4 linked regions of the Caenorhabditis elegans genome follow. The protein of the gene in region 2 interacts with the protein of the main gene of each other region in a pairwise test. Each region holds a gene or a part of one and is shown on either strand. Other genes may lie near its edges. The genes, in order: Y79H2A.3, prx-13, athp-1 and abi-1.

Evidence for each region.
Region 1: the proteins of prx-13 (region 2) and Y79H2A.3 interact in a two-hybrid assay, tested with the Caenorhabditis elegans proteins (one large-scale study listed by BioGRID).
Region 3: the proteins of prx-13 (region 2) and athp-1 interact in a two-hybrid assay, tested with the Caenorhabditis elegans proteins (one large-scale study listed by BioGRID).
Region 4: the proteins of prx-13 (region 2) and abi-1 interact in a two-hybrid assay, tested with the Caenorhabditis elegans proteins (one large-scale study listed by BioGRID).

The regions. Positions count from the first base shown.
Region 1 is NC_003281.10:12,047,185-12,055,503, reverse strand, and holds the start of Y79H2A.3 (C2H2-type domain-containing protein), read left to right. Parts: upstream 1-3,200; 5' UTR 3,201-3,210; coding exon 3,211-3,327; intron 3,328-3,387; coding exon 3,388-3,493; intron 3,494-3,544; coding exon 3,545-3,696; intron 3,697-4,262; coding exon 4,263-4,523; intron 4,524-4,581; coding exon 4,582-4,705; intron 4,706-4,777; coding exon 4,778-5,007; intron 5,008-5,057; coding exon 5,058-5,445; intron 5,446-6,399; coding exon 6,400-6,479; intron 6,480-6,540; coding exon 6,541-6,702; intron 6,703-6,749; coding exon 6,750-6,869; intron 6,870-6,919; coding exon 6,920-7,070; intron 7,071-7,818; coding exon 7,819-7,952; intron 7,953-8,319. Other genes in the region: arx-3 (Actin-related protein 2/3 complex subunit), read left to right, coding at 342-428, 710-843, 896-955, 1,828-1,918, 1,998-2,018, 2,790-2,810.
Region 2 is NC_003280.10:7,249,651-7,257,348, reverse strand, and holds prx-13 (Peroxisomal membrane protein PEX13), read left to right. Parts: upstream 1-5,333; 5' UTR 5,334-5,345; coding exon 5,346-5,399; intron 5,400-5,450; coding exon 5,451-5,533; intron 5,534-5,998; coding exon 5,999-6,266; intron 6,267-6,320; coding exon 6,321-6,459; intron 6,460-6,622; coding exon 6,623-6,917; intron 6,918-6,969; coding exon 6,970-7,123; 3' UTR 7,124-7,198; downstream 7,199-7,698. Other genes in the region: F32A5.8 (DeHydrogenases, Short chain), read right to left, coding at 247-327; ada-2 (SANT domain-containing protein), read right to left, coding at 1,833-1,969, 2,102-2,644, 2,702-2,930, 2,981-3,254, 3,300-3,760, 3,817-3,929, 4,754-4,787; lsm-4 (putative U6 snRNA-associated Sm-like protein LSm4), read left to right, coding at 4,248-4,253, 4,296-4,436, 4,668-4,745, 4,796-4,942; skpo-3 (peroxidase), read right to left, coding at 7,371-7,460, 7,517-7,619, 7,672-7,698. UniProt on the Caenorhabditis elegans protein: Component of the PEX13-PEX14 docking complex, a translocon channel that specifically mediates the import of peroxisomal cargo proteins bound to PEX5/prx-5 receptor.
Region 3 is NC_003281.10:10,878,529-10,886,721, forward strand, and holds the start of athp-1 (PHD-type domain-containing protein), read left to right. Parts: upstream 1-3,237; 5' UTR 3,238-3,435; intron 3,436-3,832; 5' UTR 3,833-3,841; coding exon 3,842-3,907; intron 3,908-3,958; coding exon 3,959-4,090; intron 4,091-4,656; coding exon 4,657-5,028; intron 5,029-5,562; coding exon 5,563-5,669; intron 5,670-6,679; coding exon 6,680-6,960; intron 6,961-8,036; coding exon 8,037-8,193. Other genes in the region: C44B9.3 (C2 domain-containing protein), read right to left, coding at 1-46, 99-415, 796-1,041, 1,460-1,567.
Region 4 is NC_003281.10:5,686,247-5,694,536, reverse strand, and holds abi-1 (SH3 domain-containing protein), read left to right. Parts: upstream 1-1,806; 5' UTR 1,807-1,830; coding exon 1,831-1,959; intron 1,960-2,006; coding exon 2,007-2,092; intron 2,093-2,138; coding exon 2,139-2,580; intron 2,581-3,071; coding exon 3,072-3,663; intron 3,664-4,147; coding exon 4,148-4,308; 3' UTR 4,309-4,430; downstream 4,431-8,290. Other genes in the region: B0336.13 (Transcription initiation factor IIA small chain homolog), read right to left, coding at 1-88, 203-489; arle-14 (ARF7 effector protein C-terminal domain-containing protein), read right to left, coding at 747-883, 958-1,282, 1,323-1,418, 1,467-1,523.

The sequences.
Region 1 (8,319 bases), on a different chromosome or scaffold from region 2:
GCCAATTTTAGGTCATTTTTTGGCCATTTTTAGTCTTTTTCAGTCATTTTTGGCCATTGCTAGCCAATTTCGGTCATTTTTTGCCAATTTTAGGTCATTTTTCGGTCATTTTTCGTCTTTTTCAATCATTTTTGCCAATTTTAGGTAATTTTTTGGCCATTTTCGTCTTTTTCAGTCATTTTTTAGCCATTTTTGACCTATTTCGGTCATTTGAACCGTCATTAAAATTTTTTCAATAATTTTTGAGAAATTTAATTTCGAAATTCGTTAATTTGAGCGCATTTTGGTGTCTATGCATTTTTTTTTTCGAAAAAAATATCGATTTTTTCCTCTATTTCCAGGACAGCCAAAAAGTTCAAAACTTGCTGACCATTCATCTGCCGTTCACAACAGTCGAATGGATTACTGAGAACAGTGTTGTCACGGCTGTAAGTTTCACGAAATTTTGCAGATAAAGCAGCGTCGCCGCACAGAAAAAGAGGCGGAGCGTAATTTCGCAACCCTGCGGCGCGCGGTTTTTTGTTGATTTTTTTCCACACAAAAATTCAATTTTACTTGTTTTTTTAATCTTTTTTCGAATATAAATAAACTTGTGAAGATGTTTTGGTTGTAAAAACATTTAAAAAAAAGGTTGCACACCCCGCCCATTTTTCTATGCGGCACTGATTTTTTTTTAAGTTTACAAATCGATTTATCTGCTTTTCTATAGGGTCACGACTGCTCGCCGGTGCTCTTTGTAGTGTCTCAAGATGTTTTGAAAGAAGTTTGCAAATTGGATGTCCCATCAGCGGCCAAGTCATCGACGGTTAACAGTGCTCTTCAGCTGTTCAAAAATATCGATCGGTGAATAAATATCATCAAAAATAAAGTATTTTAATTCCTCCAATTTTTATAGAAATAATGCTGCGGAAAAGATTAACGTCGCCTTGAAGACACTCCATCAAAATCGAATTACGTGAGTTTTGTGAAAAACGCCAATTTTTTGCAGTTTTGCGTTAAATATTCCCAGATTTTTTAATGAAAAATGCATAAAATAACCCCGAAATCGTAGGATTTTTGGAATCTCAAAAAATTCGGACAAAAAATTCATCAAAAATAAAACTGTTCAAAATCGGAAAAAATTTCGCAGAAACGAAGCCGATTTACCGATTTGCCGGAAATTTTCAATTCCGGCAATTTGTAGATTAGTCGGAAATTTTCAATTCCGGCAATTTTCTGATTTGCCGGAAATTTTCAATTCTGACAATTTTTCGGTATGCCGATTTGTCGGAAATGTTTAATTCTGGCAAATTGCCGATTTGCCGGAAATTTTCAATTCCGGCAATTTACCGATTTGCCGGAAATTCTCAATTCCGGCAATTTGTAGATTAGTCGGAAATTTTGAATTACTGCAATTTACCGATTTGCCGGAAATTTTCAATTCCGGCAATTTGTAGATTAGTCGGAAATTTTCAATTCCGGCAATTTCCTGATTTGCCGGAAATTTTCAATTCTGACAATTCACCGATTTGCCGGATATGTTCAATTCTGGCAAATTGCCGATTTTTCGGAAATTTTAAATTCCGGCAAATTTCCGATTTGCCGATTTGCCGGAAATTTTCAATTAAAATTTGTAACTACAGTACTAACAACATTTCGTCGTTTCGAGACCGGTTACCGTATTTCAGAGAAAATCGAAAAAATTTAATTAACGAAATTTCCTTTCCAAATCAAATTAAAAAAATTTTTTTGAAAAAAAAAAATTTTGTTCGGTTTTTGTACACGAGCTCGTAAATCTACCGAACAAAAAAAAAACAGAAATTCCAAAAAAAAAAATAATTTTTTCAGTCAAATCCTACCTCACTCTGGAACCGTCGGAAATGTTGTGAAATTCACAACATGTGGAACTGACGGAATTGTTGCACTTTGGGATTTGAAGGTTTGTGATTTAATTTAATTTTTTTTTTTGATTTTTAAGTCATTTCTCGGCAATTAAAATAGTTTTAAAAAAAGTTCAGGAAACGATAGAATTTTGTCGGGTAAGTTGTTGCAAGGTTTGAAGGATGAATTTTCAATTTTCAAATAATATCCTAATTCTGAGAGTGAAAAAACCCGTTGAAATTGGAGTTTTATTATTAACAAAAAGAAGTGCGCATGGGTCTTTAAATAACATTTTTCATCGAATTTTTAATCCGGGAGTGCCGAATATTTCGAATATTTATGTTTAGAAAATTCCTGACATTCTATTTCAGCGGAAAATCGCGAAAATACGATGATCTTCGAACTCGCGCCAGAGACATTCTCATTGGAGCGCGCCGTGTCTTGTGTGGATTTACGAGCCAATTTCAACTTTTTCTGGTTTTTTTTGTGTTGAAAATTCATTTTTTCGTGTCATTGAACATTTTATTATCATAAAATTTCCCTATTTTCAATAAAATCGATAATTTGTCGATTTTTTGATTTTCCAGAAAATTTAAAAATCGAATTTAAATAGTATTATTTTTTGAAATTCGATTTTTAAATTTTCTGGAAAATCAAAAAATCGACAAATTATCGATTTTATTCAAAATAGGGGAATTTTATGATAATAAAATGTTCAATGACACGAAAAAATGAATTTTCAGCACAAAAAAACCAGAAAAAGCTGAAATTGACTCGTAAATCGACACAAGACACGGCGCGCTCCAATGAGAATGTCTCTGGCGCGAGTTTGAAAATCGTTGTTTTTTTTCGAATTTTTTCTAATAGATATTCGATTTTCTATTTACACTCTGCCTTTAAATAATTTTTCAAAAAATTTTAATTTTCAGAATCACCCATCACTCGTCTAAACCGCCGTCAAGTCTTCCTCAATCAATTTACCAACCAAAAAAAAAAATTATCACCAATTATATTGCTCCATCTCGAATTCCCCAGCTATTTATGTGATTTTTTTGTTTATTTTTTCAGTGTACATTTAAAAAAATTCTTCCCCCCGTTTATCTCGATTTTTTATCACGACCCATTGAAGATTTGCTTTAACCTGAATCCTTTATTCTTCTGAATATTTTTTTTTTCTACATTTTTATATTCATTAATGCAGCAATTTTGTTTTCCCCGGCAATTTTCGACATATTTCGATATTTCTTATTTTGCGTTATTTCTTCGCATTTCGTATCTTTTTTTTCCCCGAAGATTTTTTTTTTCGTTTTCCTAATTCTTATTCCTAATTAATAATTTAGATCTCGAAAAATGGAAGAAGACGATAGCGAAATTTGGACTAGCGATGGCTATTGCATCGCTTGTCGATCGATTTTTGCAAGCGAAAAGGAGAAATTGGAGCATCGTGCTAGCAAGAGACATGTGAAGGTATTTTTTTGAGAATTTCCTTTTTTTTTTTGGGGAAAAAAATTCATTTGTTACCTTTAGAAGTGGAATTTGCACAAGTTTTTCCGGGATGAATCCACCATTCATGGAACTATGGCGGTATCGGAGATGCTTGAAAGATATAAGCTGAAGAAGATTCCCATCATTGGTGAGTACGGGATATTCTGGATAATTTATAATATCATTTTTGGAAAATTAGGCCTCCACCAATGCCAGGAAATTCAACAAGTCGGAGTTTCGAATCAAGAAAAAACGAATTTCTGGACGTGTGCTACTTGCTACGAAGTTGGAGACACTTATGAGTTGGCGGATGCTCATCTCAATTCAATGGATCATATTCGGAATTATATGGTAATGTGCAGGAATGATTTTGAACGTATAGACTCAAAATGTGCTCAAAAGAACAAATTTCGTAACGAAATTGCTCAAAAATTGTTCAAAAAAGTTTTATGGCGGTTCAAAATTAGCTAAAAATCTCGAATTTTGGCCTCTTTTCAGTGTCACAGCGGCTCGAAGTTGACTTTTTTATTGCATATTTTGGTAGCTTATCTCATTCAGTTTCATTTATTAAAGTATATATTCTATCGGCATTAAATGTACTTTAATAAACGAAGTTGAATGAGATAAACTAAAGATGATAATTCCAAAAAAAGTTAACTTCAGACTTCTGTAACACTGAAAAGTGGACAAAATTCGAGATTTTTAGCTAATTTTGAACCGCCAGAAAAAATTTTTGAACAATTTTTGAGAAGTTTTGTTACGAAATTCGTTTATTTGAGCTCATTTTGGGTCTATATGTTCAAAATCGAGAGCGGGGTTTCTGCATAAAAGAGAGAAAATACCTTTTTTTTTAAATATTAATTTTTTACAATTTTCCATTATTTCAACACGATTTTTGAGTTTTCCCATCAATTCAGGACGAATGTGAGTGTGACGAGAAGGAGCAGATCGAAGAAGAATGCGAAGATGACGAGTATGCGAAATATGAACGATATCGTTCTGCGGCCGAGCGAATTTTCGCAAGAGACGGTGGAATCGATGGGCTTCAGCCTCCGAGCATCCTACGAATGCCACTCAGCACTGCTGATGGTAAAGCAAAGTTCGGAATCGAAGATCAGGTGGATGTGACGTTTCAGCAGTGTCCGAATGACGCGAATCGCAGTGTTCTGCATTGTAGTGTATGTATTTATTACCGATAACTAATATATTTCAAGAATATTCGATATCATTATTCAGACTTGCAACGAGGTGGCTCCGGTTGTGGTGGCAGGGAAGTACACGAAGGAAAAATCACGTGCTCATCATTGTGAGAGCACAATGCACCAACAACGAGCGGCGGTTTTGTCGGCGATAAATGAATGTTAGAATTTAGAATTACAAAATTTTTAAAATTTGAAAATATTCAAATTTCAAATATTCAAAACCTTTCCAGTTCACCCTCAAGAGATCTTCGATGAATTCAAGACTGGAGAATCTCAAGCACAGCTTCACTGGACGGAGAAGGACGATGATGGCTCGTGGCTCCTGAGCCAGCCATGTGGCTATCGATATCTCATTAATGCTGGTGATGAACGAATTTGCACAATTTGCTACGCACTAGTGAATGGGGATGATCAAGTCCTGGAGCATTTTAGTTCGGAATATCACGCAATGAAATACCTGGTTAGCGAGCGCACTGAGTTGCACAAATTAAATATAATCAAAATTTCCAGAACATGATTCACTCTTACAATTCCTATTTGGCTCAACAACTAGATGGCCCTGAAAGACGAGCGAAAGCACTGAAGATGCTCATATCCACGTTAACACTGGAGAATGACACGAAAAAAGTGGCGCGTACACTGTCTCACTTCCCGAGTCTTATAAAATCCCAGCTATCCGAAGATGTTCGTGTTTATCCGGATCCACCGCTGGAAGTTATCGATGATTTCAAGGAGACAACCGGGAAAATGTTCCGTTTCTGTGTTTCGTGCTGTACTTACATCGAGTTCGACGCCAATCTTGTCGATGAACCACAGAAAATGGCAGCGGCATGGAAGAAGCATGTTTTCAGCGCTCAACATTTTGAAACTGCGGCGATGAGGACTAGAATTGATTTTAGTTAGTACACTCCTATACTACAGTCTCTCCAGGACGATCGCTCCGTTGATTTCACAATGTATTAGGGACGGGGCTTCGACTGCAAGCCTGCCGCGCGGTTCTACTACTCGAGTTTTTAATAATGAAGAAAAACGAAAATTTTTCGAATTGTTAAAAATCAAAAAAAAAAAATTTAAAATATCGAAAAACGAAAAATTTTCGAATTTTCGAATTTAAAAAATCGAAAAAATTTGAAAAACGAAAAAAAAAAATTTTAATTCGAAAAAAGAAAAATTTTCGAATTGTTAAAAATCAAAAAAAAATAAAAAAATCGAAAAACGAAACTTTTTCGAATTTAAAAATTCGAAAAACGAAAAATTTTCGAATTTTCGAATTTAAAAAATCGAAAAAATTTGAAAAACGAAAAAAAAAAATTTAAAATATCGAAAAACGAAAAATTTTCGAATTTTCGAATTTAAAAAATCGAAAAAATTTGAAAAACGAAAAAAAAAAATTTTAATTCGAAAAAAGAAAAATTTTCGAATTGTTAAAAATCAAAAAAAAATAAAAAAATCGAAAAACGAAACTTTTTCGAATTTAAAAATTCGAAAAACGAAAAATTTTCCATTTTTCGCATTATAAAAATCAAAAAAATCGAAAAACGAAAAATTTTCAATTTTTGAATTTAAAAAATCGAAAAAATTTTTTAAAAGTTCGAAAAACGATAATTTAAAAAAAATCGAAAATTTTCAGAAAATTAACCTAAAATATGAGGTTTTTAAAATCTAATTTTGTTTATATTGATGAGAAAAAAAAATTAATTTATTCTAAAAAGAAGAACAAGAACCAAAAATTTAAGATAATTTTTGAAAAACCGACACCCGCTCCGCCCCCGCGACATTGCCAAATTAACGACACGCTCAGGAATCTTCAAACTTATATTGAAAATTGAAAAAAAAAACCTATATTTTGCAGATCCAATGTTCTTTGTTCCGTATTCCCCTACAGTAACCAACGCGGAAACCGACGTTAAAGGAGTTTGGAAAGTTAATAGGGTGCGGTTTTTTTTTTTTGGATTTTTAACAAAATAATAATTCCAATAATCTTGCCTTCCAGGAGGTCCTCGTTCAAACCCAATGCGATGTTGGACTGGAATTTATGGTGGAAGATGAAGCGGCAAATGAGGTGACCTGTCAGTGCTGCTGGCAGGTTTTCTCAAAAAATCCGATTTTTGTGAATCAACACATTCGATCCTATGCTCACCTTAAGCAGTATATTGTTAGTTGACTAATAGTTGACTTAATAGTAGCTTTAATCGTTTCCAGTTCCTCACCGCTCCGGATATTATCAGAATTCTTCTCGGCGCTGAAACAGACGAGAAAAAGCAAGCATTTCTGATGGAATGGCTTCAGAGGCATTCGGGATTGTTTCAGAAGCGAATTCATGTAAAAACTATATTAATTAAGAAATTGAAATATACAATTTATATTTTCAGCTTCACTCTAAACTAAAAACCCTCGAACTTTCCTCATGGGCGCCAGTCTCTCGGCGCCTCGTGCAAACGTCTCTTTTATGCAGAGAATCGTCTGAAAAAGATGTCTATGAGAGTGTTCTGGGTCTTGTAGACAGTGTCGCGTGTGATGGAGGTAGAATTATATTACGGGAACACAGAATTCTGAGAATGCGTATTACACAACATATTTGACGCGCAAACTATAACTATATCTCGTAGCGAAAACTACAGTAATTCTTTAAATGACTACTGTAGCGCTAGCGCTTGTGTGTCGATTTACGGGCTTGATTTTCGGACAAAAAAACAACATTTTCGAATTTTGTAAGCGATATTCTTCAATTTTCTTCGTTTTTTCGTATTCCTTAATCATTTTTGTGCTTTTTTTTAAAATGTTTTATCCATTAATAAATTAATTTGATTGAAAAACGTCTAATATTCGCGTCATTTTGATGAGTAAACTCCTAAGTATATTTATTTTTTTTACATTATTTCCTGCCTATTACGGAAAATATGTCTGTAGGAGTTTGCTCATCAAAATGACGCGAAAATTAGACGTTTTTCAATCAAATTAATTTATTAATGGATAAAACATTAAAAAATAAGCACAAAAATGATTAAGGAATACGAAAAAACGAAGAAAATTGAATATCGCTTACAAAATTCGAAAATTTTGTTTTTTTTTTCCAAAAATCGAGCCCGTAAATCGACACAAGCGCTATCGCTACAGTAGTCATTTATAAAATTACTGTAGTTTTCGCTACGAGATATAGTTATATTTTGCGCGTCAAATATGTTGTGTAATACGCATTCTCAGAATTCTGTGTTCCCGTAATAGCTATCATTATTATGATATTTTTTTTTTGGAAAATAATATTTTCAAGAAAAACTTGGAAAATTTCCAGAGGAATCGATCGAAATGACGGCTCGGGAGGCACTTATTGCAGCCAGAATGTTGATTGTGAATACGTCGAGAAGAAGTGATAATACGCTGGCATCTGTCGTGTGTAGGTGTGAGGTTCGTACCTGATTACCTATTACCTGCATGTCGATTTACGCAGGCCACCGTTAGTGATTCTTAATCGTGGCGAGACCCACGCTGACAAACATTGTGTGCCTTTAAATTGTCGTTGTAATTTTACACAATTTTAAATTCGAAAAGATTTAGCGAAAATGGTCTGAAATTGAAAAATGTATCATGCGAAGTGTAGTTCGGCAAATCGGAAGTTGCCGGTTTGCCTAATTTTCCGGAAATATTCAATTCCGGCAAATTGTCGATTTTTTTGCCGGTTTGCCGAATATCAATTTGCCGGAAGTTTTTGATGTGATTTTTAATAAGACGGAAACACTTAAGACAGTGGTTTTTTTAACCTACTTTTTGCCGA
Region 2 (7,698 bases):
TGAAGTTAAAAATCTTAAAATAACAGTTTTAAGATAAACTTTTTACATAACAATTTTTTAACTGAAATTATAAATTTTGAAAAATAGGAAGGTTTACGAAATTAAATCTTCGAGAGTTTTATGAAAAACTCAAAAAGTGAGAGAACCAAGATTTAATACATATATGCCTACGCCTGCCTATTGACTATTATCTGAATTTTTGCGTAGCCGCAGACATTTCTATTTATAATATTTTTCAAAACTAACATCCAATGCATTTGTTCTTGAATGAAATTCCCTTTTCCTTCCAGAACCTTCTCCTCTTGCTTCAGCCAACTCGTCGTCCATAATTTGAAATCTGAAAGCAGAGCATCTATCAAAAGTGACGTTTACAATTGTTCTATCGTAACGAAGAGATCACCTGCGATGCGGATTGGTGACAGCAACAGCGGTGAGACCGTCACTAGCAACGTTTGTTACGAGAAATGAACCTCGGCGGGGTTTTTCTAAAATTCGAAAAGAGGAATATAACGTTTAAAAATTAATTTTGTATTATTTTTGAAAGATGACTTCAGCTTTTGGAAAATATGATACTTCCTACTGGGTAATTAATGTAAAGGAATTGATTACTTACATTTTCCATTTTATCAGTATTTTTAAATATTTTTTTAAATTTGGTATTATTCAGGCTGAAAATGTTTCGATTTTGTGCCAAAAATACGGTGCCCGGTCTCGCAACGACAATTTTCTGTTAAATGCGAGAAGGTGTGCGCCTTTGAAGTATACTGTAATTACAAACTCTCTTTGCTGAGGATCTTTTTCGCTTTTCATGATTTGTCTCTCGATATCTTGAAATCGTTGATTCTTATTGTTATATTTGAATTTTAAATTTGTATTCTTATCGAAAAAGTCTGAAAAAATTAAATTCTGCAAAAAGAAAGGTTAAAAATTACAGTACTCTTTAAAGACGCGTGCCTGTTTTCATTTTAAAAAAAGTTGTCGTGTCGAGACCGGGCACCGTATTTTTTTGCCCAAAAACCGCCAAATTTCGCGTTAGCGTAATAAGTTTTTGTTCGAAATGAAGCTTTTCTAAAATTACAAAGAAATGAAGAGATTTTTATGCACAACAAACCGAAAAAGTCTGCAACACAATTTCCAATAATATCAGGTGAAGTCATGATTTTTGAGAGGAGTAAATACGAAATTAAGTGTCAAATGTTGTTTCAGATGAAGACAAGTTACTTTTCCAATGAAAACTACTAAATATCTTGTCATCTCATCAATTTCAGATGACTCCGCCCACTTTTCTCATGTTTCTATTTTTAGAAAACTTTAAGATTGATTCAGATTTCCTTGAAAACAAAAGCGACGTGGTAAATTGTGTGAAAAAAGAAAAATTGGTTAATAGTAAAGAGAAAATTGGGGGCAAAACGAGAGAGGTGAGAGAGAGACCCGACTGCCATCTTCCGAGTGTCCTTGCGAAACGGAGACTGTCCTGTCTCTGCGTCTCGTTGTAAAAGGAGCAAACAATTTGTATATTGTATTTTTACAATGTCTCCATTCTGTGACTCAGTTTTTGTGCTCCTAGGAGATGACGAGTTTTTGTTTGAGTAAACAAGTGAACAGTCTGATAAGGTTGAGAAGACATGTATTAGGACCAAATGAAATTATGAAAAAAAAAACATAATACAGATTTTTGACGGTGGAGTAATTGTATAATTGTACAGAGCTTGTAATGAGTTAGAGAATCAAGGGATGGAAATGAATTAGAAAGTGAAAATAAATATGACAAACAGAGACGGGGAAAATTAATAATAATATGTTATAAATAGGTAATCGAATACGAGATAAAATTACTCCCATCCTTCAGTGTGCCACTTTTTAAACTTGCTCCATTCGGTAGCAATCTTTTTCTTCTGTTCACAATCGATTTTTCTCATCTTTTTCTTCGATTTGCGTTCAACTGGAGCATTCTTGAGAGTGGTCTCGCCTGAAAAATAAAATAATAATAAGAATTTCAAACGGTATTTATGAATTTTCAATAGGACAAAGTTGTCATGTTTTTTTCTAAAGAAAATTGTTCATTTTAAATTGATTTTAATATAAATAAAAATTTTAATACCGTTTTTCTGAAGATCCTGAAGTACTTCGATCCGTTCCACTACATTATCGATACGTTCAATGGATGCTCGTAGGCTACGATACTCGTCTCTAGTCAGGAATTGTTGAGTCATTGCCAATAGCTTCTCCTTTTCAGTACGTGAATCCATTATCTCCTGCTGGCTCACTGGACGTTTGGCTGCTGCGTAGCATGCTTCTTGGTAGAATTTCATGAATTCATTTATCTTGTCATGTTCAAGCACAGTATTTCGTTTAGCCTTCCGAATTCCGAGTAGACGAACGTAATGTCTCAAACGGGCGAACTTAATATCATTTTCCATATCGAGTCTCTGATCTTTCTGAGGTTCCGTAGCAGATATTGTGAGGCGACTGATAAGTTGTTCAGCTTCATTGAACCATTCACACTCCAATTCTTCACGTTCGTTATTGTATCCAAGAATTTTCAACTCATCACTTCTTCTCATTTTTGGACGAGTTTCCGACTTTGATACACCACTTTCATGAAGTAGACGAGGATATGCACTTCTGAGCTCTTTAACTTCTTCTAAAGAACAAATTGCGCCGAGAGTTTCTAACTTTTTTTCTCCTTGTTTCTGCTCACGGTTCATCTTTTTACGGAATTCATGCAATCTTCTATCTTTTTTCGAAACCCACATCCTCCTTCGCTTTCGTCTCTTTGAGCTCGAAGCTGTTCCTCTCTTTGGTTTTTTCTCTTCTTCTTCATCTTCTGTATCAAATTCCTGTGCAGTCTCAAAAGCGCTTGGAGGATCTTCTTCTTCTGTTTCGCGTTCCATGCCGTGGTAGGTGTCTTTATCAGAAGCTTGACTTTTCTGGAAAAAATACACATAAAACTGAATTTAGTTATTTTCCTTAAACTCACATCATCGTCCGAATCACTGCTTGATTCTCTCATAACTCGAGTAGTTTTTCTTCTCTTTGGACTCGGAGGCCCCTTTTTCCGACAACTGGAAGACGGGCCCGGCGAATTGTCATTATCACTATCATCAGTATTTATTTCCTGTTTTACTGATCGCTTCGATTTCATATCTCTTTCATTATCAGGATCACAGTCATCTGGGCTAAGCTCCGTCTCATATTGATTTGTAAGGAATTTTGGGCGCTCATACTTGGTTTCAATGTCACCATCGATTACTCTGAAGAAATTCTAAATATATGAAAAATAGGACATTTTCACTTACTTTTGCACATACTGCTCTAATACTTGTTGCACTTTTATCGCAAGTTTCGGATCGTTTTCATCCCAGCTTTCTCCAGATGCACGAACGGCGTCTCGAATCAGAAGCATTCTTTCCGTTGATTCCAAACAGTTTTTTTGTAGCACACTGTCTAATGTTTGATTTATATACATCCCATATTTAATTCGATCCCAACTTGAACTTTTTATGGAAAATTGTCCAATCCATCCACGCACGAAATGTTTTTCAAAGTAATCCTTGCAATTATGACCATCTTTTCTTCCGCGACCAATACTTTCAGCTATTTCTCCCCAATTTCCCATCTTGAATTTATGAGCAGCTTTTAACAATTCGAATTCATCTTCGTGTGTCCAGCTCATTGCTTCGGGATTACTTGTTGGCTTGACAAGCTCGTAATTGTGACCTCGGCGATGTGGTGGTGATTCCGCGCCGCATTGGAAACACTGAAATTTTAAAAATAAAATAATGTTCTTAAAAACTTCACAATCTGTCAACTCACGAGGATACAAATTCGCAGAGGACATTCAAAGCATTTGACATGAATGGTTTGGTCGACTCGTAATGTGCAGTTGAAGCATACCGGATGTTCTCCGGTATCATCAGCCATTGAACCTATAAATATTAAAATTCCTCAAATCATGTTTTAAAATAAAACTAATAATCTTGAGATGAAAACAAAGAAAAATCGATTGCAGAGGTGAACCCTGTTTTCAAATGATCATCCACCAACGACCCTCCGAAATGACGCATGGTCGCCTTGTTTAACGTAAATATTGTGTGCATTAAAATCTTTTTTTATCGGAATTTTTTGTTTCGAATTGTCTTTTCGCCGTAATTTCAGTTTAAAATCTTAATTTATTCTTTGCAGATTGTCTCACTTTAAGTTTTACTAGTGAAAAACAATCACAACCCCACTAAATCAATATAGTCATGGTGGTAAGTCGAATTAAGCTGAACTCAAATAGTGTATGATTTCAGTTGCCACTTTCTCTTCTCAAAACCGCTCAAAACCACCCGATGCTTGTGGAGTTGAAGAACGGCGAGACTTATAACGGTCACCTGAAAGCCTGCGATTCGTGGATGAATATTCATTTGGTGGATGTTATTTTCACATCAAAAGTAAGTGTTTCGTTTAATTAAATGGTTAGCCCAGGAGAAACTGGCTATTCAGAAATTTCTTTTCGTTATTATTGAAAAAAAACATAATTTTGTTTTAAACGGCTCACAGATTCTAATTTAGAAAGAACCTTTCATATTTAATTTGCATTCATATGTCAGCTCAATATTTCAAACATCTAAAACTCTCGGATTGATGCAAATTTGCGACTAACAATACATGTTAAATTACAGGACGGTGACAAGTTCTTCAAAATGTCAGAAGCGTATGTCCGGGGATCTACTATCAAGTATCTCAGAATTCCAGAAACAGTAAGTACCTGATTTTCTCTTCGACAACATAACATTTCCCATTCTTCCAGGTGGTCGATCTCGTGAAAACTGAAGTCAACGAAGTTCGTCGTCAACAGCAGCGCGAGCAATCCCGTGGTCGTGGTGGTGGACGAGGAGGACGTGGAGGACACCGCGGAGGTGGTGGAAACCGAGGCGGACGCGGAGGAGCTCGATAATTCCTGCAGTGCTTCGATTGCTGATAACAATTTCTCGTTTACTCTAAATAATTTATGTATTTGAAATTATTTTTTTACCCAAAAACCAAACCTTCCTCCGTCTCTTCTGATCTTCCCCAAGTCGGGTTGTTTCACATGTTTTGAAATTTTATTACAATAAATTGAATTATACTTCAACAATATCTTAAGATCTTTCATCTGTCCTCCCACTCTTTTACTAGACTACAATGTAGTCTAGTATGGGACGTTGTCCTTATCAACCGCCCGCTGCAGTCATTGATTGTAGTCCACAATGTGACTAACGGCAATTTCATAGTTGCCATTTCTTTTATTTTTTCTTGAATTTAATCCATTTTTCAAAATCGAATAACGACATTCCATTTATTATTACAGATAAATTATAATGTCCGCACCTCCAACAAATCAACCACCTCCGCTGCCGCCAAGGTCATTTGATGTAATTATTGATAAATTGTTTTGAAACTCCTACTAATCGATAATATTTAAGAATCAAATGTCGAATCCAATGATCAATACAGGTTTTGGTTATGGTGGAGGATATGGAATGAATACGTTTCCAGGGTCTGGAATGTAAGTTTTATTTTTTAAATATTTTTTTTTTTTTTGAATGCTCTTTCGTAAATGCTAAAATGTCTGCGCCTTTAAAGAGTACTGTAGTTTCAAACTTTCGTCGCTGCCTTATTTTCATGGATTTTTCGTAGTTTTTCCGATAAATTAATTTTAAATTCAAGTATACTAATAAAAAAGAGAGAAGAAGCATGAAAAAACGATGAAAGTCCCTCAGCAACGAGAGTTTGCTGTTACAGTACTATTTAAAGGCGCACACCTTTTCATATTTAAGAAAAATGTGTCGTTTCGAGACCGGGTACCGTATCCTTGACGCAAAATCGTAAAATATCATGTCTGGGTAATTTACCGAATAAAGTCAGTACCGAAATGATAGAGAATGGGTTACTGTATAACTCAAAGGGGCCTACGTTTCGCGCAGCCTCGATTTGAAAATATTTTGTATTAATAAAATTGTATATTGTTTAGGTATGGTGGTGGGGGAATGTATGGAGGAGGAATGGGTTACGGTGGATTTGGTGGTGGCTTCAACCATATGGGATATGGTCAAGGACCTGACAGCAATTTTGCTCGACTTGCAGAAGAACAGTCTCGAGGCGCTTTTCAATCAATCGAATCAGTTGTAAATGCAGTCTCATCTGTCGCCAACATGCTCAATTCAACTCATAATGCAGTTTATAGTTCTTTTCGAGCAGTTATTGGAGTTGTAGAGCAATTTGGAAGATTAAAGACGCAGGTGAGTTTTTTATTGAAAAAAACAAATCTGATAATAATTATTCTATTGTTCCAGTTGTCATCAGTAGTTGTTTCTTTGGCAGTTTTCCGATGGGTATATCGTTTCTGGAGATGGCTACTGGTTATGTTGAAATTGAAACCAGCAAGTTATGCAAGCGCTGCTGAAATGGCTTGGGGAACATCACAACCGTATGGTAAGTGTTCAAATTTTGTTTAGAATTGAGAAATATAGTTTGAATATCTAAAATTAGGAATAATACGATAAATAATGATTCTGACTACATTTTCGAAATAATCTATATTCTTTTGGTTTATTTCTTGTACCATAATTTTCCAAAATCGTAATTTTCCTTCCAGCCACAGACGTTCTTGGTGCCACAAGAACTCCAGCAAGTGTCAACTGGCCTGCTGCTCTCTTCTGGGTTGTTGCAATTGGAGGACCATGGCTCATCTATAGATGTGTCAGTCAGATGGTACAAGCTGCTGAAGAGAAGAGAAAATGGGCAACTGGAGCCGCTCCACATTATACTGCTCAAGCACTTTTCGACTTTCAAGCCTCAAATGAGCAAGAGCTTAGCTTCATGAATGGAGAAACGTTAAGAGTGGCTCCAAAAGAAGAACAACCCAGAGTTAGAGGATGGCTTTTAGCAAGGTAGCATCAAAAAGCTCTCTGATTAGATATTTATTAATTCTTCATATTTTAGTGTTGCCGATGGAAGTCGTATTGGACTTGTTCCAATTAACTACGTCAGAATTGTCGGAAAACAATCACAATCTCCTCCACTTACTCAACAGAGCAATTTAGACACATTTGTTAACGCTTTTCCAGCAAGAGATTTGAATTCAAATATTCAATAATTCCTATTCATTATTTCTTTTCGTGTTTTTTAAAACGGGTAGTTCGAATTTCATAAACGTTTTATTTCGCACTATAATCATGAAACAATTCCAGAGAGAATGAAATTATAACCTAGTAATTAATTGAGAGAGAGAGAATTTGAAGTGAGCTTTTCTGCCCATACCCCGCATTTGTGACAAAAGGAATGTGAAAAATAGAACAAACATATTGAATTAAAAGTATAAATGTGCTGTCATTTTTTGTCGTTTAAAAGTCTCGCCACTGATTGAGGTCCATCGACGGAATCTGACTACATGGAACCATATGGCCCACTCGGAATGCTTCTCGTGGAATTGTCTGAAAATGTTTAGTAGTTCAAATTGAGCTTAGAGGCTGAATTTAATGTTTCTTACTGATATTGTGTTTGTGTTATCGCAAATAATTCTGCTCAGAGAGCTCTTGCGAATCTCGACAAGTTGACGGCGAGAGAACACTCCCGGATTTTCGTAATAGAATCTGAAAAGTGATATATTTTACTGAGTTTTTAAAATTTCAAATAGATACAAACCTGTCTCCATCTCGTGTTCTTTTGAAT
Region 3 (8,193 bases), on a different chromosome or scaffold from region 2:
CCAACGTTCTGATGATGATTTTGTGGTGAAGAGGCCCGTGTCGCTACTGAAAATTGATTTTTTTCGATTTTTGAATCTAAATATGTGAATTTCCTTACCTCCTCCCGCCAAGTACAGTACTATTTGCCTGTGGCAATGGCATATCAAAGAACTCAGGCTTCTTTCGATCACTAATATACACACAGAGGAGTACGGTAGTCGATGTGAGAGCCAGCAAAGAGAAAAACGCAAGAATGAGCATTCCGATGAGCAATGAGGTGTTGTTCGAAGTTCCGAAAAATGGAGAAAACGTGGTGGATGGTGGTGCTGGGGTTACTGTAGTTGTAGTAGTTGTTTGTGAATCATCTACACACCATGGGCATACTGTATTGGATGCTTGAACTTTGACGGTTGACATGAAGCATTGACCTTGGATCTGGAAATTTTGGGGATTTTGGAACAAAATTAGACTTAAAATTCAATTTTTAATGGGGTTTTTAGCAAGAAGGTTCGAAATAAAATAAAAATATTCAATTAAATATCAAAATCTTGTTTTTCTATTCGAATTTTTGTGAATTTTGCAAAAAAAAGGCGGAAAAACCGTGCCATTATTTTTTTGGAATATTTTGAAATATTTCATTTTTTCAGCTAAAATCTGATTTTTTCGCTAGCTTCGAATTTTTTATAAGAATTTTTTTATTCTAGCTTTTTTTTCGATTCGAAAACTAGGTTTTTAATTAAAATTCACAACAAAATCCGCCGAATTTTTCCGAATTTTTTGCCTGAAAAATCTGAAATTTAGATCAATTTTCTAACCTGCAGTGTTCTTTCCAAAAACTCTGGCGTTTCCCCAGTAGAATTCTGGAAAACCCGAATATATCCAGATCGATCACAAGTTCTAGCCAATCCATATACAGGATCCACTGAAACAAATTGAATAGATACCATCCAATCATTTAATCGTCCTTTTGGCCAATGGGTTACTGTAGGTCGAGCGATTCCATTTATATACTCGAAACTTGATGAACGACGTTCGTGGTGGGGAAGGATTCGTTCGTCGAGCTGGAAAATACTGAATTAATTTTTTTTCAAAGTGATCTACTAAACCGCGCTCCTTTAATGGCCCGAAACTACCAAAAATTCTGCTAAAATTTGAAATTTTGGAATTTGTTTTCGAAACTTTTTTACCATTGTATTGGGCTTTTTTTGGGTCGCAGTGAAGAAGTAAAATTTTGAATTTTCAAAGAAAAAAACCAAAAATCGAGTAATTTTATGGCAAAGATGTATATTTTGCGATAGATTTTTCGGGGAAAAATGGTGTTTTAAAACATATTTTTGACGCGAAGTTCAAGGAAAATTGACTTTTTCGGCAAAATTGGTTGTAAAAACTCTGAAATTAGCGCGAAAATTAACCAATTATGTTTTTTTCCAAAACTTTTGGACTATTTTTCAAGGAATCTTATAAATTTCCAAAACTCACAGTCATATAGCTCATAGTTGCACATCCACTAGTCTCTGTACCCCATGAGGTCTCATCAATTGGACATGGTTTCCGTTCCACAGAGAGAACATTCACGTGGAGCCACATTTCAGAGATGACCGGGCTCACGGAGCACACCAATAATAGTAGAATTCCATAGAAGATGGGCGACGACATTTTAGTGTAGAGTGTGTGTCTGAAAGAAGGATTTTTTGTTGAAAATCAGGAAAAAAAACGGAAAAAAATTAAAAATTATTTTAAAAAAGTTGCAAATAAATCAAAAACTGCCATTTTTTCAATTTTTCGGAGAGAAAATCGAGAAAATGCAACTTTTTCTGCAGAAAAATATTCAAAAATTCAAAATTTTTCCAATTTTTCGGTGTTTTAGAGAAAATTTCAATTTTTACTTCGGAAAAAAATTTTTTCTGCAACTCGAGGAAATCGTTTTTTTAATACGACCAGAAAGGAATTTTAGGAAAATTGGAAAATTCTGAAGCTTTCAGAAAATTGAAAATTGCCAATTTTTTGAAGAGAAAAGCTAAAAAATTAAGATTTTCCCCAAAAAAATATAGGTTTTTTCGAATTTTTAAAAAAATTTCAATTCAGAACCAAACATTTTCGGTGATTTTTCAATAATTATTTTTCGAAATTTGGAAAAATCCAAAAAAAAGTGTGAATTTCAGTGAGAAAAAAAAAGCTAATTTCTGCAGAAAACAGTGAAAATTTGAGAATTCTAGGAAATATCGAAATAAAAAAAAGAATGTCGATTTTATCGGATAAAATAATACATCGACATACTTTGAGAGACTGGAATAAGAATAACACAATGACTGACTAATTGGATGCATGGTCAGGTAGAAGGAGGAAGGGGGTGTCACCTAATTATAGGCGGAGCTGGAATTACAGAGCGTCTCGAGAGATGGTTATCTTGTCGAAGGACGGGATTAGCACCTTTTACAACGTGTAGATGTCTATTGAAAGAACAAAGGATTTGATTTGTGATGGGCTGAAGATTAAGATGTTTATTGCCTTGTTTTGGAGCTTTATCTGGGCAAAAGATAAGATTTTTTTATACAAAATTCGAATTTTTGACGAAAAACGTAATAAATAATTGGATTATAGAGGATTATAGACCCAAAATGTGCTCGAAATCTGAAATTTTGTCCATTTGTCTGAGTTGCAGTAGTTGATGGAAGGTATACCTATTATAATTTGGTAGATGCACAAAAGTTGGCAGGTGTGTGGTGCACACATATCGACCGTAAATGTACCAAAAAAACACAAAAAGTATGCAAAAACAGCTACTTCACTGACAAGTAAACAAAATTTAAGATTTTAGGTTATTTTTTGCGATTTTGATTCTATTTTCAATTGAGGAGCAGTAAATAGCGGTTCTGGGTACTAAAAATGTGCTTATTTTTGTTTATTTTCCGCTTGAATTCATTTTTTCAACCCAGAGGTACCACACAACATCATCTCACTACATTTTTTGTGATATATCAAATATAATATGATTTTAAAAAAATTGAAAATACTTTTAATGGAAAATCTGACAGAAACCAAGATAAAAAACTACAAAAAACTGGGAAGAACTGGGAAAAAATTTTTTAAAAAAGTTTTCTAAAATTAAAACTACAGTACACTTTGTTCAAGGCGCATGTGCCGTTTATAACATCGTGGCGAGACCCTCGCCGAAACTCTGTCCATGCTGCTTATGATTACTGTAGTTTATTTATTGTTTAATTTTCTTAAATCTTTTATTTGTTCAATTTCCTCGTTTTCCTTCGCTTTTGTTCCAATTTTCTGTTGAAAAAAGTATATTCATAACAAAAATTATTTCTTTCTTTCCAAACAAGCCAAAAACAAGGCCATAAACCGGAAATAGCCGACAAAAGAAGTGGAGATGAGTTTTAGGGTTCGAATAGGACTGCCGATGGTTTACAATGCCGATTGTGACTGTGGAGATGGCTGTAAAGGTGCGAATAGTGATTCTTTTCAAGTTAGCCGCTGGAAATTTCTCTGAAAATCTGAAATTTTACCTGAAATCTGAAATTAAATTCAAAGAAATGCGTGAAATTATAAATTTTTATGAATTTTCTTCAATTTCCCCTAAGAAATCAAGATTTTATCCGTAATTTCCGAAATTATAGGAAAAAACCTAATTTTTTTCGGCTTGACGCAACTGCGCTCCATTGCGAATTACGAAGAAATAGTATGTGAATCGAGGAGGGCACAGACAGCTAGACATCATGCTTCTCATGAAAATTCATTCGAATTTCTGCGATTTCTATGACGATTTTTCATTTTTTCTTTGATATTTTAATTTAAAATGCATTTAAAAAATCATTTCTCATTGATTTTCTTAGTTTTCAGAAAATATCAATGCAGAAAAAAGAGAAAGAAGGCCGAAGAAAGCTGAAATACGACTCAAACGACGGTCTTCTGCCGGTAAAATTGGCAAATTTTCACTTTTTCGCCTCAAATTCCAAATTTTTGTAGGAAATTCGCCGAGTTTGCGGTTTTCCACACCACATTTCCGAAGAATTGTCGGCGAGAGGGTCTGGAAAGAAGAAAAAGCAAGTGGAGGAAGAATGGAAATGGCCTGAAGCTCAAATATGCGGAATTTGCTCTGTAAATACATTGATTATTTGGAAAAATATTGGAAAAAACTAATTTTTCCCTGAAAAAGGCAGAAAAATTGCAAAAAATCATCAAATCTTTGAAAATTTCGATTCAGAACTGGAGTTTAAAGTAAAAAAACCAGATAATGCTGAAATTATTTGATTTTTTAAAAAAGTTTTTAGTCCAAAAGAGCTGCAAAATTCGAATTTTTGATGATTTTAGCATTTTCAGAATAAAAATTCCCTTTTAAAAATTTATTATAGGCCTAGGTTCAGGCTTGGGCTTAGGCTTGGGCTTGAGCTAAAGCTTAGGCCTAGGCTTATGCCTTTAGGCTTAAGCTTAGGCTAAGGCTTATGCGTAGGCTTGGGCTTAGGCTTGAGCTAAAGCATAGGCCTAGGCTTAGGCTTAGGCCTAGGTTCAGGCTTGGGCTTAGGCGTAGGCTTAGGCTCATTATATTATTTTTGCAAAATTGGAAAAAAAAATCCCAAATTTTAGAAAAATCTCTCCACTGAATTCATAAATTTTCAATAAAAAAATGCCCAGATTTCCAAATAATTTTCCATGTTTTTTTGCAGTCCGGCGGTAACATTCTATGCTGTGAACAGTGTCCAGCATCCTTTCATCTTGCTTGTATTGGATACGAATCATCCGATCTTCCAGACGACAATTTTTACTGTAATCGATGTAGAAATCTTCCGGAAAACGTTCGGCTCTTTCCACCGGAAAAGTGCTCGCCGTCTGTAAATCCAGTGCTCCGAGTTGAAAATGAAAATCACCGAAATTGGGAAGCTATTGAATATCATTGTAATCGACTTAGAGATGAGGAACAGGCCGAGAAAATGAAAAAAGATGTTGCTTATGGGCCAAAAAGTGAATTTGCAGAAATTCAAGACTGTTTTCGGGATAAAAATCTACTGAAAGCACTTGGAATGGCTAATCCCATGGATGTAAGGGAGTTTTTTCAAAAAAATGAATTAATGCTTCAATTGAAAAATTAATGAAAATCGAAAATTCTGGATTTTTTAAAATTTAATTTTTTTTTTTAATTTTCGATAAAAATAGTTTTAAAAAATGCGAAATTTTATTAGCAGAAAATATTTAAAACACTTTTTCTCCCGAAAAACGTTGAAATTTTCGGCGTTCGATCCGATTTTCGGGAAAAAAGTGAAAAAAAAATTAGAAAAATCGGGATTTTTAACACTGTAGGATAGGATAGAAACAGAAAAAAACACAATTTATTTGCAGAAAAATGTACAAATATTTTTGAGTATTTTCGACCTTTTTTCCTGAAAATTATCGTTCTTGAGACCATTTTTCCGATAAAAATATTAAAAATAACGCTTTTTTAATTCTTGTTTCGAGTTTTTGTGAAAATTCTTTATTTCTGTGTCCTTCAAAAATTTCCAATTTTACAATAATTTTCTCGAGAAACCTAGATATTATTCCAAACATTTATAAATAATTTTTCCAACATTTTTCAGTATACAATACCACCGGAATTCCAAGCAGATCGTGATTGTTTCTCTGGTGATGCAATGGAAGACAAGAGGCCAACTATAATGGGAGAAGTGTGTGCTGAGTGCAATTTGTACGTTTTCGTAGCAAAAATGGACCTAAAGTGCCAAAAAAAAGAGGAGTTTCCTACCAGAAAGTATTGAAATTGAGCGATTTTCTCTCGAAAAATATCCGAAATTTTTCTTCAAAAAAAATCATTTTCGATTCTTAAAATGATCTCAAAATCTGAACTTTTAGATTTTTTTCTGAAAAACACGATAGAAAAATCAAAAAGAAAAATCAAAAATCAAAAAATTTCGTTTTTCGATTTTCCGATTTTCCAAAAATTAGCTTCACATTTTGGACATTATTCTTATTTTTAGAAGAAATTTGGATTTTTTTCTTACAAATATAAGCAAAATTAAATAAAAAATCGAATTTTATGGTTAATTTTCTGAACATTTTTTTCAATTTTTCGATGTTTCGATTTTCACTGAAAAACATCGAAAAATCGAAAAATGGCACCCTTGATCCCTTCTTGAAACTCCAATTATTATTTTTTTTGCAGAAAAGACGACTGGACACGAATGCTAAAATGTGACTTTTGTGATCTAATTTGGCATCAAAAATGTGTTTTTTTTCTGGAAAAAAAGTTTTAGCTAATTCAAAAAGTCAAGATTTTAAAATCTTAATTTTTTTTTGAAAATCAAAAAATCACCTGAAAAAGACAGAAATTACCTATTGAAGAAAAATAACATATAGTTTTCGAATATTATGTGATTTTCAATTGTTAAGAAAAATTCAATATTTTTTCTGAAAAATTCTGAAAAAAGTAAATTTTAATTTAAAAAAAAAATTTTCTGTAAATTTTCTGAAATAAATTTTGTAGTTGAGGAAAAATTTCAAAAATGTTCCGAAAAATTTTCTTAAAAATTTCAAAAAACTTTCGGAAAAACTTCAAATCAACTAGTTGATAGAATGAGAAAACTTAGAAATTTGTAAATTCCCTTAAAAATGCAGAAAATAAGCAAAGGTAGGCAGGCATCAGGCCCTGAAACCGCGCCTGCCTACCATATAATTTAAAACTCCAATTATTTTTTGCAGAAAAGACGACTGGACACGAATGCTAAAATGTGACTTTTGTGACCTGATATGGCATCAAAAATGTGTAACACCTCCACTTATTCATGTTCGTGCATATTTCTATTGGATGTGTCCAAGACATCCAGAAACTGTCATTGATAGTGTTTTAATTGGTGATGAGATTTCACGAGAAGATCGTCGACGGCTTTATGATAAATATGCTGATGTTGAGCCGAGCTACGAGATTTTTGAGGAATTTTGTATTAAAACTGAACAATTTCGAATGAAATCGGAGGTTTTTGGTGAGGTTTTGCTTACTGAAAATCTTTTTTAAAAAACTTGAAATTTCTAGAAATATTAAAAAAATTTTCTAATGTTTTGGATTTCTTCAAAAATCGTTTTTTTTTTAATTTTTAAAAAAATAGAAAAATGCTAAAAACTGGGAAACTTTTAGATTTTTCCCAGGAAAAATGCCAAAAATCAGAAATTTTCAAATTTGTTTCTGAAAAATGCAAAAAACTTTGAGGTTTTCAATTTTTTCCAAAAAAAAATCTCCGAAATTCCGAAATATTTAGATTTTTACATAAAAAACAGAAAAATCTTTAAAATTTTCAATTTTTTCAAAAAAATGCTAAAAAACTCGGAAAATTTTAATTTAAAAAAATATGAAAAATTCCGAAATATTTAGATTTTTCTAAATAGTTACAGAAAAAATCAATTTTTTCTAATGTTTTGGATTTCTTCAAAAACAGAAATTTCAAAATTTGTTCCTGAAAAATGCAAAAAACTCTGAGATTTTCAATTTTTTTCAGAACATTTTTTATATTTTCACATTAAAAAAGCAGAAAAATCTTTAAAAGTTTCAATTTTTTAAAGAAAAATGCCAGAAAATCAGAAATTTCCAAATTTGTTTCTGAAAAATGCTAAAAACTCTGAGATTTTTGGATTTCTGCGTGAAAAAACAGAAAAATCTGAAATATCTACGAAAATTTTTTCGGAATTTCCAGTTTTTTTTTCTGAAAAAATATATATTGTTCAGAAACAAACTGTTCCTGAAAAATGCTAAAAACGCTTTAAAAAAACCGAAATTTTTGAATTTTCAACGAAAAAAATTGCCAATTTTGTAATTAAAAAATCGATTAAATAAAATTTTTAAAATTAAAATTTTTTATTGCTAAAAATTTTTTTTTTTGAAAAATGCTGAAAGAAAGTAATTTTTAGATTTTTTTTTAAATTAAAAATTAAAAAATTTTCTGTAAAATTCTGGAAACGTTATTTTTGAAATTTTAAAAATTTTCAATTTAGTTGTAAATTTGAATAAAAAATTCCGAAAAAGAAAAAATTCACCGATAATTGTAAATTCGATTTTTTTTTTCAGATTCCGAAGAAATGTATTATGATCCTGAAGAAGCCAGCACATCATTCATGCAAACTGTAATAAAACCGAGACAAACTTCACGCAAGACTACTGGACGTTCGGCGTCGAAAAAGAAATCTAATGGACGATTTTTTGCGTCTTCTTGGGATTTTCCCGG
Region 4 (8,290 bases), on a different chromosome or scaffold from region 2:
AGCTCGATTGACTCTCTTGGATGGTCCCTGGGCGCTCAATGTCTGCAGAAGGCTTGTTTGACGACCATCACAGGCGACCACTTTCAGTCTGAAATATTAATAATTATAGATCATCGAGAAACAAAAATTTTTATAGAAAATTAATAAACAATTGCTTTTTTCTAGATTTTTTATTTTTAATACAAATAAAAGAAACACTCACTTATCAATAGGCTCATCAAACGATCGCTGGGGATCTTTCAACGTGACATTATTGAGAATAAACGTCCAAACGTTATCACAATATCGATAAGTGAGCAGTTGTGTCGCACAAAAATTCATTTTCTCTTTTGGAAGCCGCGAGATTTGCTTGTTCATGCTTTTATCAAATTGTTGCAGAACTTTCGAAGCAAGAGATTTCGTGAGAAGTCCTTCGGATTCCATGTCCTCAAGAGTTTTATCGAGTGCCTGACCCAGTGTGGTCCCTCGGTAAAGAGCGTATGACGACATTTCTGGAAGATTCTGAAATATCGTTGGATTAAATTTTTCTCGAGAAGATGCCAGATATATTTTCAGATTATCAACCGAGAAACTATGGATTAGTATGACAAAAAAGAACAAAAACAAACAATATCTTTAGTTTTTAATGAACATCGAGATTGAATTTTTCACAAAGACATGTATAAAACAGTTCAAAATAGATAATACCAGTACAAGAAAAAGGGGAACATACATAAGAGGTTAAAATTGATAAAACGATAAGGCATTTAATCCTTGATTTGGCCCGGAAAATAAGGATTAATATTGACAACAGGGCCCGGGGCTTCCGTCACTGTGTACATCTCCTCGACGCGTATCACCATTTCTTTTCGATTTTGACGACATCCGATGAGACATTTGCGAGCTGAAAAATGCATTTTTCTTTGTTTAAAGAATTTTTAGAACAAATATTTTTAGTTAATGAATATCATCTCTTACATTTGCACTGCTTACATGGCCAATGGCACCCATCACACTCCACCACGAGACAATCACAAAGATCGAAAAACAAAGTCTGTCCTTTTGCGGTAACCGAAAGTTTTCCTGTTTTGTCATGATGCAAAGGTTCGTCTCTCAGATCCGCCTGCTTCTCCGCGGCTACACGTTTCGAGCGGTTGGTGCTAATAATATCCACAGAGTCGGGCAAAAATCGAGACATTTCATCTCCTGGATTCGCGAACTGGAGGCCTTGAAGCTCTCGGTGTGCCATTCTCGTTCGACGGCTCGTTCCTGAACTTTCCTTTCGAGATGATGGCTGCAACTTCTGGGAACTTTGTTAAAATTTTCTTTATTCAAAAGCGTACCTTTGTTTCGAAATCGTCAAAAAGCTCCGCATCGACTTCATCGCAAATCTCGGAATCTTGTTGCATTTCACTATCCGTCGAGAAATCATTTTCAAGCTGAAAAAAATACAAAAATTAAATACATTAAAATTTCAAATTTCAAACCTCTGCTGCAGCTTTCGCCAGACCGGCAATTTGTGCGAGAACGTCATTGGAGCTCATTTTTAGAATTATTGGTTCAGAAATTTAGTAGGAAATATGATTTATATCGATTTAATTTGAATATATCCGAGGAAATTCTATTATTCGATATGCTCTCCTCGCGGGAAATAACATGTGCGTACCACTTGCGAAAAAGCGCGCCGCGCGTTGCATTCTGTGACCACGCCCTCATTAATTTCTTATTCATTCAGTTCCTTTGAGTGTTTTTCATGAAATTTCTGCTGTCAATTTATTATTTTTAAAATATTTTTCTAAACGTTAGTTAACTTTTAGTTTGTTACAGATGCTACATAATGGGGAAGGCGGAATGAGTGTTAATGATCTTCAAGAGCTCATCGAGCGACGGATACCCGATAATCGAGCTCAACTGGAAACGAGTCATGCGAATCTTCAACAAGTTGCCGCGTATTGTGAGGATAATTATATACAATCAAACGTGTGGTTTAATTTTTTCTTTTAAGTTTATGAATTAAACGTTTTCAGAATAAATCTGCTGCGCTAGAGGAATCCAAGAAATTCGCGATCCAGGCACTCGCCAGCGTAGCCTACCAGATTAACAAGATGGTTACGTAAGTATTTCAATTAATTTGTTTTAATTATGAATCTTTTTTTCAGAGATTTACACGATATGCTTGCTCTACAAACCGATAAAGTGAACTCTTTAACAAATCAAGTTCAATATGTTAGCCAAGTAGTTGATGTACATAAAGAGAAGCTTGCAAGACGAGAAATTGGTTCTCTCACAACCAATAAAACATTATTCAAGCAACCCAAAATCATTGCACCAGCAATCCCAGATGAAAAGCAGAGATATCAACGAACGCCCATCGATTTTTCTGTTCTTGACGGAATAGGGCATGGTGTCAGAACATCGGATCCACCGAGAGCAGCACCAATCTCAAGAGCAACTTCATCAATTTCTGGCAGTTCTCCATCACAATTTCACAATGAATCTCCAGCGTATGGAGTTTATGCTGGTGAACGAACGGCTACGTTAGGAAGAACAATGAGACCGTATGCTCCATCAATTGCTCCATCGGATTATCGGTTGCCACAGGTGAACATTTGAAATATTCATAGAGGCTGAAAATAATTTGCTTTTCGTGTTTTTGACAAAACGTTTTCAAAAAAAAAAGGGAGCGAAAAATTCTGACATAACTTATACATTTTAAATTTTAAACTTTTTTTTCTGAAAAATACACTCAATATTGAAAAAAAAGTGAACCATTGATAAATTTATTCAAAAAACGGTTTTTTTGACCCAAAACGACCGCATTTCATAATGAGACTTCTGAAAATATCGAAAAAAAATTTAGAGCGAGCCTGAATAAGAATCTGAAATCCTTGTTACAGCAGTTAGATACAGTATTTATTGAATAATCACATAATTAATTTTGAAATTTTTTAGAAGTCTTTTTATGAAATTCAATGTTTCAGGCTAGTTTTTGTCGACTTCAGACTAAACAACTAATTTTTAAAAAATCAGCTCATTTCCTTTTCAAAAAATTAATCAAGTTTTTTCTAACATAATCCGATTACTTTTTACAGGTCACACCACAATCAGAATCACGAATCGGCCGTCAAATGAGCCACGGATCAGAGTTCGGAGATCATATGAGCGGTGGTGGTGGAAGCGGAAGTCAACACGGATCATCAGACTATAATTCCATTTATCAACCTGATCGTTACGGAACTATTCGAGCTGGTGGTCGGACTACAGTGGATGGTAGCTTTTCTATTCCCAGACTATCATCTGCACAAAGTAGTGCTGGAGGTCCAGAATCACCAACATTCCCACTTCCACCACCAGCTATGAATTATACTGGATATGTTGCACCGGGAAGTGTGGTACAACAACAACAACAACAACAAATGCAACAACAAAATTATGGAACTATTCGAAAATCAACGGTGAACCGACATGATCTTCCACCTCCACCAAATTCTTTGCTCACTGGAATGTCAAGTCGAATGCCAACACAAGATGATATGGATGATCTACCACCTCCACCAGAATCAGTTGGTGGGTCATCAGCGTATGGAGTGTTTGCTGGTAGAACAGAATCGTACAGTTCGAGTCAGCCACCAAGTCTCTTTGATACGAGTGCTGGATGGATGCCCAACGAGTATTTGGAAAAAGGTATTTTTGGAGATTTTAATTTGATTGAAAAATTGTCGGAAAAAAATTCTCTAAGCTTTTCTGTATTATTTTACGATTTAGAAAATTGGCTAAAATTGTTAGTGAAAAATTTATTATAAAAACCGAAAAAAGTTTAAAAAAATTAAATTTAATAAAAATTTAAAAAAGAGAAAAAAACAAAAAATTTTGTGATATTGGAAAGTGATTTTGAAAAATTCAAATATCTCCAAATTTTTTTTTTTTGAGAATTTTCAAATTTTGAAAATTATAAGCTTTGATTTTTTAAAAAGTTATCTTTTTAGCTTTTATTTTCGAAAAAAACGAAAAATAAATTTCCTTTAAAAACATCGGAGTATCAAAAAAATCCAAAAAGAATCGAAATCTTAAGTTGTAAAATGCGATTTTTTGCAGAATTTTTAATGTTACAAAGCAATTATATTTGTCAATTTAAACATTTTCGAAAAAAACCAATCTTTTTTTTCAGTACGGGTCCTGTACGACTATGATGCTGCAAAAGAAGACGAGTTGACACTTCGCGAGAACGCAATTGTCTACGTACTGAAAAAGAACGATGACGACTGGTATGAAGGTGTCTTGGATGGAGTCACTGGGCTTTTCCCTGGAAACTACGTAGTTCCAGTATGATAACAAGAAATGCTAACCCTGCTAAATCAATTGCTTTTAATCTCACTTTTATTCATATTCATATATTGCCTTTTGCCTCGAGTACTTGTATGTGAAAAGCCAAAAATAAACGATGGATATGTAATCATGAAGGAAGCAGTGGTCCCCTCGTTTGCAGCAGTGAGAAGCCTAAAAATAGCCAATACGACTGCTATTTTCGAGTCTCGACGCATTTCCTGAACGCATGTGCTCGTTCTCTCACTGCCCCCGTACTACTCTCTTTTGGTTTTCCTAGGGGCTCGCCTATTTAATGAGATTGCTCATTTTCTCTTCATGCACACACATTCATTCATTTTCTTATATTTTTGTGCCTTCTTATTTCTTTTCCTCTCCTCTCTAGTTTATTTTTTCTTCTATTTTAGAATTTTAAATAATTCATGTTCGGCACGACGAATAGTGACGCCAAAGAGTTTGCAAGGCGTGGGAATTGTATCTTTTTTGGTGGGCGGTGGACACAGATTTTCTTAGAGGAGGAACAAAGGTCAAAAATACAAGCAGAATTCTTGAACAGTTGAAATTCCCGCGCGATTTCCAATAAGATGACTTGGATCGCGGTGGGACCTTAACTATTGCACAGACGCAAAATTTTGTCATTTTTGCGCCAAAATACGGTACTCGGTCTCGACACGACAATTTTTTATTGGATAAAAACGGATGTGCACCTTTAAAGAGTTCAGTACTTTCAAAAATTTGTTGCTGCATGCTGCATGAAAACTCCATGAAAATTTAAAAGCAACGGAAGTTTGAAACTACAGTACTCGTTAAAGGCGCACATCCCTTTTTATTTAGCAAAAAAGTGTCGTGTCGAGACCGCATACCGTATTTTTTTATCTTTTAACTTTAAAATATGAAACTCTGCAGAGTACTCTGCTCATAAAAAGAAACAAAAATTCGCTTTAATTGGAAAATTCGAGAAACATTTCAGTCAGAAAAACAAAACATTGTTTTTTTTTTCGAAAAACACGAGACCTCAATTAAGAAAAGTCGGTTTGTTGTTTTGTTGGTGCTCTTAAACTGCGGTTAATCTTCCATTCAAAAGCATCTAATACAAAAAGTACCAGTAATTATATTTAAATCGGTTCAAATACCTCATGGGACAAATTTGAATTGGCATATTTATTTTTTGATAAACATTTTTTTTCCGACCTTAACTCTTGTATAACAATGAAATCTAATCTTGTTGCTATTAAACACAATTTCTGACGAAAAACTACGGAACCTGGTCTCGACGCGACCGGAAATTTCAGGCATAGAAGAGTGTGTACCTTTAAAGATTACCGTAGTTTCTCAGTTTTTTTTTGCAATTTTTATCCACCCCTTTTTAAAGCTGTTTTTCGAAAAACTAATTTTTCGAAAAGAAAAAATATCGATGATAATTGAACACAATTGCGTAAAACAGAATTTCGCAACTACAGTACTCTTTAAAGGCGCACTCTCTTTTGCGAAACTCTCGGTCGCGTCGAGACCGGGTACCGTTATTTTTTTTGTATTTTCTTGCAACTTGGTAATAATTGCAATCTGAATTGCAAAGAAATTTTGGTGCTCCATACGCGCATTTCAGTATTTTCAATTTTCAAAAGTTCCCTTATTTTTAAACCAAAGCACATTTCATTTCAGTGTTCTTGTGGCTCTTTTTTCTCTATTTTCTATCTTTTCAGAGTGTCCTGTGTCCCTTCTCCCCTCCCCTACCAGGGCGTGACGTCGGTACGCTCCTCTTCTTACGTCTTTCCATATCTCTGTACTCTCTGTACTCTCTCTATCTCTCTCACACACACAACAGAAAGAGCTCACCAACTTGTCTATTCTCTATTTACATATTTCGTCAATCTTTTTCTCTCTTCACAGGGGCGGCTACCGATCCGTTCTTTCGCAAAAAACCCTCGGAAATAGTAAACCCCAGAGTCATCATTGATAGTTATAAATAGACATCTTTATGTGAACTCACCTGTTTTTATTTTATTTTATTTATTGCAAAATCCATTTATCTGGAATGTTCTTTAACAAGAGTTCAAGCATCTTCCTTATTTTTATTTGAAAACCTTCAAGTTGCTTTACTCTTTTTGTTTTCGTTGTTTCAGTGATCGAAAATCAGTTTTAAAGGCTCATTTAAAAAATCTATGGCCGATTTTCTTTCAATATGCCAAAAAAAATTAGTGGCCGAACTTTCTGCTTTTTAGGCCACGTTGCATAAACGAGAACGGTACCTCAATTTATCCCTTGATTTTCAAGTTTTTTGCCAAAAAAAGAAATTAATGAAAAATATTGGTAATAACGGAGAAAAATCACTAAAAGACAGATTATTTAGTATTTAAAAAAATTGGTGGCCGATTGTTCTCTTTTTCTAGGCCACGTCGCAAGTAGCCTTTTTTTCAGAAATATTCAACAATAATTCAACATTCATATTTTCAAGACTATTTCAATAATCTGAATCGAGCAATTTTCCTATTAATAATAATAAAATCTTCAATTCCAGACCGGCCCAAATTTCAAAGAATCCCCACAAATTGAGTTATTCAAAAAAAATCGTTCTGGCGAAAATCTCCTGTTTCTTGGATTTAGTTTTTTATTCTTCCTTTCTGGAAATCCGTTTCTAAGAAAATGAAAATTCGATTTAAAAAAGAATTTAAAGCATTTTGATTTCATTTTCAAAACCTTTTAGACTTTTAGATTCACTAAAAAGTTGACAACTAGCAAAATAAAAACAAATTTAATTCTGAGGAATATGCTCTCAGAAACATGATAAATTGTCAACTAACCAGATATTGCAAAAGATCAGATCAAAATCACACAGTTTAAAATTCACCACCAATTTTCCTTATCAATCACAATTTTTATCAATTCATTTTCACCAAAAAAGTCTGACATTTTTGTAGAATTTTTCCGTTTTTCCGTGTTAACAAGATCAACTTCACTGACACCAATAAATTCCGGTAAATGATCAAAAATTAGCGCTGAGAATCAAGAAAATTTTAATCGTATTGTAAATTTGAGTACCTACGACAATGACTGAGTATTTACGTCAAAATGTGAACAAACTAGACTGCCTGTAAACATTTCTCTGTCTGTGTGCTTTTTGATACAGATACTTTATTTTTCAGTTTTGGTGTTGATTTATGAGATTAATAGATGATACTGTATGGATTTTTCTGTTAAAAATTTTTAGATCAAAGTTGCAACTTTTTTTTCCAAATAAAACTGTTATTACGTTCTTTAATTTCCCGGAATAAATGAAAATTCCAACATTTGCATATTTTTATCAAAATTTTGTGGATAATTTTTTATCCGAAGAAAAAACAATTTCCAAAAAAGAGGAAACGCCAACAAAATGGATAGGTTTTATTTTATAAAAATTGAAAGACCACACCGGCAATATCGCCGACATTTATTTCTATAAAAGAATTTTTAAAGTTTTAAAATGTCTTGTTTTCCGGCTGTTGGTGTTGCCCTCCAGCTGTCCAATGCTCATTGAGTTTTTTCTTGGCTCCACGAGCTCAAAGATGAGCTTCAGAGTTCTTCATCGGAATGTGTTTTTTTTTTGCCTGGCGTTTTCTAAGAGCTTCTTTACCAAACCAATACTATGATCCTTTTTATTTCATTTTTGTGTTTGTGTTGACACTTTCGAACAAACCCCCCCCCCCCTTTCCCAATGGTATTTGGGAGAAAAAAGAACCGATTGAAAAAAAAAGTGAACTGCGTCATGAGGTTATGAGTACCTCCTCTTCTTCAACGCCCTTTGTTTCTCCCATCCTTTTGCTCTTTGTGAATTTTTTTCCCCTAAAAATATGTATTGTGTAAAAACTTTTCTTGAGGGAAATCCCTTCACCTATGTATCTTAATTCATACAGAGAATAGCTTTTAAAATGATCTTCGTGTTCTGTCTTGAACTTTTAGTCTCTAGTAACAATTTATCAAAACTTTGACTGCAATTTTTGAAATCAAAACA